2 linked regions of the Styela clava genome follow. The protein of the gene in region 2 purifies or fractionates together with the protein of the main gene of each other region. This does not show direct contact. Links are inferred from orthologs where the notes say so. Each region holds a gene or a part of one and is shown on either strand. Other genes may lie near its edges. The genes, in order: N-terminal kinase-like protein and protein transport protein Sec31A-like.

Evidence for each region.
Region 1: the proteins of protein transport protein Sec31A-like (region 2) and N-terminal kinase-like protein purify together in Homo sapiens (affinity purification with mass spectrometry; 3 studies listed by BioGRID and IntAct, counting the BioPlex papers as one, with this or other methods). This does not show direct contact. The link is inferred for Styela clava from reciprocal best matches to the Homo sapiens genes SEC31A and SCYL1.

The regions. Positions count from the first base shown.
Region 1 is NC_135252.1:12,120,071-12,124,006, forward strand, and holds the start of N-terminal kinase-like protein, read right to left. Parts: upstream 2,669-3,936; 5' UTR 2,581-2,668; coding exon 2,467-2,580; intron 2,078-2,466; coding exon 1,944-2,077; intron 1,829-1,943; coding exon 1,699-1,828; intron 1,202-1,698; coding exon 1,105-1,201; intron 770-1,104; coding exon 637-769; intron 156-636; coding exon 65-155; intron 1-64. UniProt on the Homo sapiens protein: Regulates COPI-mediated retrograde protein traffic at the interface between the Golgi apparatus and the endoplasmic reticulum. Involved in the maintenance of the Golgi apparatus morphology.
Region 2 is NC_135260.1:9,046,470-9,050,405, reverse strand, and holds the start of protein transport protein Sec31A-like, read left to right. Parts: upstream 1-1,365; 5' UTR 1,366-1,502; coding exon 1,503-1,708; intron 1,709-2,262; coding exon 2,263-2,470; intron 2,471-3,936. UniProt on the Homo sapiens protein: Component of the coat protein complex II (COPII) which promotes the formation of transport vesicles from the endoplasmic reticulum (ER).

The sequences.
Region 1 (3,936 bases), on a different chromosome or scaffold from region 2:
GATCCGCTGTCATAACCAATAGTTCCAAACATTTCAGTAATAGATATGAAAGCAAGACACTAACCTTCCCAACAACTTTGAGTGAAGAAGTTCTGGGTAATGGTCCATTAAAAACTTCCCATATTAAACAGCCTAAACCCCACATGTCAGAAGACCTGTAAGATTAAAAGTTAAAAATTACAGAATGAATCATTTTTTATTAAATGTTGAAGTGCACAATATCTCTTGCTAATTAGTACTTGAACTACAGATTTCTAACTTTCAAACAAATAAGCAAGTCAGGACTTTAATTAGACTTGTTTTATGTAAATGATTTATATCCACGAGTAAAACTCGTGATAAATTATATGTCAAACACAAATAATGGTAAATTCAACCCAAAAAGGTTACAATCTTATAAGCAAATTGTTTGCAACATTTTTTATGATAGGTATTCCAAATCCATAATGTAGGATTTATTATAATTGAGTTATTGAAAGCCTAATAATATATTTTGAAATTACTTCGAACAAGAATATTATTTTGAGACTTACGAAAACTTAAAAAAACACACACATTTATTGCATGATCAAAGACTATGGCCTGATGTTACAATCCAAATTTTAAGATTCCAGTTCATTGAACTGCGAAACTTACCACTTAGATGATTTTTTGTTACGATTTCTTGCAGATTTTTCAGGGGGATCATATTTTTCTAGCATAGGTAAGGTTTTGAAAGGCGGAAGATTGCTGCCTTCGCCTGAGGCTGGATACATGTAGTCTACTCCACCTGAAATTCATATAACAATGACATAGAAGTAATTCATTCACTGCTTTAAACGTATCTGAGTATGAATATATGAACAGAAAACACAAGTATAATTGCATGAGAGTGAGACAATACTTATTATTACACAAACTATAATATTCCTATTCCACAAAAATAAAAGTTTTTAAAAACTTCATCTGACATGATAAGTTTCGGCTGCCAGTAGGGAAAAGTATTGCACGTCATCTTAAATTGATTATTCAGAAATAAAAAGTTTATTTAAAATAAATCATGACTAAAAATTTTGAAAAAATCCTAATTGAAAATAACCTTCACACTAACAATCCATTCCTCACCTAACTTCCACTCTCCACTTTGATCAACAAATATGGAAGACATGCAGACATTGTTGTGTATAAGATTTACAGTGTTTACCAGAAAACTGAGACCTTTCTGTAGAACAATTTGGAAAACAGTTAATTAATCAATCATAATTATTTAACTATTTCTTTTCGGTATTTCATACAGGATACATAATTAAAAGTGACTAAGAGTCAGTACGAGGTTACCCAAAAACATAACCCAGATCATTGGGAAGATATTTTTAGAAAAAAGAATACTTTTGTGCAAAGTGTCCCAGATCACTGAAACAAACAGAAGTTCAAGTGTTGAAGTTTAAATTAAATTTTTTTATTTTTATTGAAGAAATTAAAAAATATATCGGGTTCTGTTTTTTTTTCAGGGTCAACCTGTACTATACTCTCTCGAAAGGAGTTTTAGTGGTCATGAAATATGGTCCTCTTGAAAAATGCTGTAATAAACGATTCATTTTTTTGTAACAAACTTCATTATTTTCCAAAAAATTGATTACTACAGTAGTCATACAGACATGCATCTGTGTTTTCTTCCCAATTCATAATCAAACCATCATAAACAAATACCGTACTTACAGAAATCTGGTGAAGACCCCAAGATATTGCAAGATCACGAGTGGCATTTTTAGTTTCCATTGTCTTCAAATGTTGTAACAAAGGTACCACAGGTTCGGTAACAATATAAATGCATTTTGGGGCTTCAAGGCTGAAAAGAATAAAAAATATATAAATAAATTTCATTTCATGGTTGAAAGCCAACGAACCTTGAAAGAACATTTCTATATTGTACAAAAATCGGATAAAGAAAATAAGAGTAATACCTGTCGATAAATGTAAGAACATTAGGATGTCGAAGAGTCTTCAATCGTTTTATTGATGATGAAGCAACCTGTCTCACTGCATCATTGCTTTCTGCTACATCAAAAGCAAATATAGAAACAGATTCTCCGTTTGCCTGAAACAAAATATCAACAAAACAGATCTTTAAAATTCAAAATCTTTTTTTAACATTGAATGTTAAGAACTCATCATTAAACTACCGGTACATGAAGAAAATCTTTTTGACTTTCAAACATTTATAAACTTTTAAATGAAATATTTCGTGAATATGGCTTCAAACTCTGATTGGAAAATCAGCTCAAAAAGCAGCTTTTTTTGGAATTGTTGATGAGAATTTTTTCAAAATTTTAACTTCTCCCCTTTGTTTTAAAACCCTCGATTTGGAAGTACTAATCTCAATGTAGCAAAACATAATAGAAAACAAGTATAACTAATGAAAAAGGGAAATTTTCAAGCATTATACTATTTTTATGCACAAGAAAATTAGCAAAACAATAGCTATACCTTACGAGTTCCCTTATGCAATGTCCATATACTTTGATCATCAAGTCCAGAGATTTTTTCCCCAACTTCAAATGCGAAGTCTTTAGTGGGATCTCTCGAAAATATCGACCACATATTTCAAAATTTAATAACAATCAACTTTGCATCAAAATAGTTACTAGAAGACTAATTGCAAGCAAATTAAGCCGCTCTAAAAACTGAAAAAAATGAATAAATAAAGGGCTATAGGGTAATAACTGAATAAAGTTAAAAAAAAAAAAGCTTTAGATAAATTTTATAGTAAACGAACAAAAAATAAATAAGTAAAAAAGAAATTAGAATAAAAATAAGAATTGTAATTAGAGATAAGAATTGTTTGCCACACCATTTTTATAATTTCATAAAAATTCCCAAATTGAGTACGGTACCGTAAAAGCGCCTAACTTCGGACAGTTCCTAACTTCGGACAAAATTTTTGAACGGCCATATCTTGGCTAAAACGCGCCGTATATTGCTAATTTTAATTATTATAGGTTGCGCTGTTATATCTACATCTATTCTCATCTTTTTTAATGTTGCATAATTATTTTTTTGGTAAAAAAACGGAAATTTTGCCGAAAATTGACTGCCCGGCATTCAACGGTGCAGAGCGTCGCTCCTACTGAAGCCATCATCGTTAAAATACCATCATTCGGTAGAGGGCGACAACAATGTATATAATTTATTTGAGTGATCGCAAGATGTCGTACGAGATTTAAATTAAATCTAAAATTCTGAATTATAAATTCCGTAAGAATATTAAGATTTCACGCAGCGTCAAAAATTACGTCAACCTCACGTAGATTATTTTTCGCTCACTTCGACACGACGTCACACTGCGTCGCGGAAATGAATTTTGACGCCAGACACAACGGAGCCAATATGACAATTTCCGTTAAGATAAAGACGGCGTTTCAATCTAATATTTTTGTATTTTGTTCGGTCATGTATGAATATATGCCAAAATTACATTAATGAAAATACATATCACACTTAATCGATGACGTTAAATATCGAATATATAATGAACTATGATAATTCCAACGTCCATATGGCACAGTGCACTGACTTAACCATTATTTTATGATTAGTAGTCGAAATGACAGTTATTGAATACGGCCTGGGTGAATTTTATTCACTCGAAATTAAAAATAAATTTAATCTCCAACAAATAAACGGGACCTACATGTTTACAAGATTAAGTTGAATTTTAAATTAAACTTTACAATCGGATTTACCGTGTGTTTGATATAAATTATCATTTATAAAGATAACCGCGCAGAATAAAAAAAAGCTATCCGTCGAGAATATTAATACTTCAAAGACTTCGATAGAAGCCCGTTAAAATACTTCATTGTGGTTTGAAACGGTTTGCATCAGATATATTTACGTATGCATTTCCTGATTAAAATGACTAACGTGTTATTATACTCATCTGAAGTATCGAAAATA
Region 2 (3,936 bases):
TGTCTTCTTTCATCTTTGCTAATTAAACGCGATGTCATGGACACAATGATTTTGGTATTCTTTCACGCCCGCGTCAATTGCGGAAATATTGTATCCTTGTTTCAATTGATATTATTGTTATCATTTTTTTTATTACTTATGTTGGTACAATATTTCATGCACGACTGGAATAAAGTATCTGAATCTATCAGCATTTTGTGATCAATTAAGTTGATTAACTGAGTTCTTTATTACTTATCGATCTTCAGATCGGTAAGTATGTTGATAGGTATTTGTCTGTTAGATGCACTCGATATCTCACGAAGGCGAGGTTGAATCTGCTCCAAATTTGTGCATTCATCATATCTCGGACCAGAAGCCTATTGATTTTAGATGAATTATGTCGTATAATTAGCGAGTTATTAATTAATTAGTGATGGGATACGCGGTGTCACTATGGAGTCATGATATAATATTTATGTATCACAATTTTCAACATTTTAACTATTGGGGACTATATTAACTACGTATATTTGATATTTGCTTCATTGGAAGAATTCATACTCACAATCCAATATGGTAATTGTTGAAAGATGTATGTGCCAATTTTTAGACAACACTATAATTTATGTCAAATTTACATATAGTATAGTATTAAAATAGTAAAATGAATCACGAAAAAGTTAAATTTTAAATATCTATCCATTGATAAAGAGGTCTCTCTCTGTCTATCATCTGCCTTGTTGCAATTTTAACATTGGGAGCCAGTGGAATGTAAATAACATTTGTTGTCTGCTATTGAGATGAGAACATAATTATTTAGTCTATTATTTCTTACTGCAAAGTGGTCTCAATTGCGTATATATGATTATTAATTTTTCGAAGTTTTATCTTCACTTTGTGGCGAATTTTGACTCCCCATAGCAGATAAATGTGTTTAATTACATGAAGGGTTACTTTTGATACGATTTGAAAAAAAGGGCATCATCTGTGAGAGCTATTCAACTACGTTAATTAAGTTGTATAGACAGTAGGACACAGTTCCCTGATTCCAAGATGTTTCGACATTTTATTCAATGAAACACACTCTATTTGTCTCTGAAACAAGGATGTATGCATCAGATTGCACCATGATTGTCTCAGTAATCATTCAAGTCAATCGCTGTCAATCTGTCATGTAATCAAAATTGCGTTTTTTTGCTAATAACTTAAATGCTGCGGTGACTTTTTTTTCTTTAATAAATTGGATCATTTTTTTCAAAGAATCCAATAGTGACGTTTTTTAATTGCAATTTCTTTTAGTTTATTACGCAGTGCAGGCTTGTCAATTTGTACTGATATAGAGCTTTTATTGACCAACTCAGTGTAGTACTAAAATATATTTAATGTCCAATTTTTATAATGGTATACTTGTTAGTTGCAGGATTACAATATCCTATTAAAATCAACTGTGGCCTATCCACACAACACAGCATAAATACCCTGTCTGTATAGATTTTGCTTCGGGATAGAAAATATCGAAAATGGTGAAAGTGAAGCAAGTAAATGTAACAGCAAATTATGCATGGAGTCCAGCAGAATTGCACCCAATACAGCTCGCAACTGCCACTGCTGCTCAACAGCTTGATGCAACATTCAGTACGTCTGCGAATTTGTCTCTGTATTCAGTAGATTTGGCAGATTCTTCTAAGGAATTAAAGCTTGCTGGACAAGTTGACATCCCCACCAGGTTCGTTTATATTTTACATTTGTCTTCACATCATTTAACAGTTATAATTTAACTTACCGTTAGTTTTATTTCAATATTGCCTATGGGATTCTAACTTTATAACTAACGTTATTTTTTGCATTAGATGTGTTTCTTGTTAAGTATGCTTCTTATTGGGTAATCGTTGGTCCAGAATGTTGACAATTACGCTAATTTGTTGCAATCGGTTTTACCTGATGTACAATATTACAATTTTATTATTACTTATCGATCTTAAGATCGGTGAGTATGTTGATAGGTATTTGTCTGTTTGTTTGTTTGTCTGTTAGATGTTCGCGATATCTTACGAAAGCGAGGTGGAATCTGCTCCAAATTTTGCATGTGCATTCATCATAGCTCGGATCAGAAGCCTATTGATTTTCGATGAATTATGTCATATAATTAGCGAGTTATTAATTAATTAGGGATGGGACACACGGTGTCACTATGGAGTAAGAGCGCTGTTTTGGGGGAACCCCTAACTTTCGATCGATAAGTCTTCGGTCTCTGACTGATATTCTCATTACTGTTTTAAGATTCTATAAAGTGATATGGGGAAACACTGGGTATGAATCATCAACTGGCGAGAGCAAAGGTCTCATCGTTTGTGGTGCTGATAACGGACTTATCAATATTTATGATCCAACCAAATTGATAGATAATACTGATAGTGAGGCTGCATTGGTAAATACCAACAACAAGCATACAGGACCAGTCAAAGCTTTGGACTTCAATCCATTTCAGGTTCATTTTTTTCAATTGCTGCTCCTTATAATAAATAATCTACTTAACAGAACAGTACTATTTTAGGCGAAAAGTTTCTAATGTTGTTTTCTTGGTAATAAGGTAACTTCTGTGAGCCTTGCCAGTTATTTTGGTATTAAACAATATATTTCATCAGGGCTATGAAGTTGTGAGTAAAAAATTCGATTCCATTGGAGTCTGGGATTTCAGACTTTTGATGGGGGTAAAAGAAGAATTTTTCAAATAAACTCAAAAGGCATAAGTTCGCTAAACCTTTTTAATGATAATTCGACAAAAGGCCTTCCGGAAGGTCTTTTGGCCTTCCGGGCGGCCCTTTCAATCAAATAGTTTTAAAACCTGATATTGTGTAATTCGATTTTGAATTTTCTTTAGCTTATGCCTTATGGTCAGGGATGGCCAATACCGAATAGTTCACTATTTCGAATACATTCGAAATTAATTTTTTCGAATATGAAATTTCGAATACTTCGAAAATAAAATCCACTAATTGAAGCTTATCTAAATGTATGTAGGAATTTCCATACAATAAGCAATGGAATAACTACTATCTACAAGTTACAACCTAGCTATATATATTACCAGGCATTTCATATTTGCAGATTATTGCAGTATATATTTTATATATATATATATACCATGAATCATGTTAACAGAATTAAATTAATACGGCAATAGTGGTATCGATGATGGATTTGAATATTTGCGCAACACAAAATCATCCTAGTAAAACGCCCATACTTTTAAATACCAACCATTGTCCAAATTATTTGCCAAAAAGCGGGATAAAGTATGAGTTATTTTTCCACTCGTGACAATTTTTTCGTGAGTACAAAAATACGAATCAAAAATTAATTATATTCGGGAACTTTACCACACATTTTAAGTCCGCAGATCGCCGTTGTATGTTTGATTGTTTGAGTAATAATACTGTTATTATTTTATAAATATGAAAATAGGAATCAAAAACTATTTATAATCGGGTAGTTTACCACACATTGTAAGTCCACAGATCGCCGTTGTATTTTGTAGATACGAAAATAGGAATCAAAAATTAATATTAATCGCGAGTTTGCCACACAATTTATGTCTACAGATTGTCGATACAACCATGAGTTACGTTGAACAAAATTAAATTAATACGGCATGACATTTTAAATGCTGGTACTAGTCATGGATTGGATTATTTTGCGCAACAAAAAATCATCCTGGTAAAGGATCGATACTTTTAACTATCGTTATCAAAATTATTTGCCGGCTATAAATACCGTATTTCCCGGCTAATAAGTCCACATGGCAAATAGGACGATGTCTATTTTTAGCACTCAAAAAGGGGGTTTTCATATAGGCCTCCAATAATACGGGTAGAAAAATTGTGTCCCTGTCGTTCAGTTATGCTGAATGCTGATACGCTCTAATAATTTTATATGTTTAGAACCAGATCATGT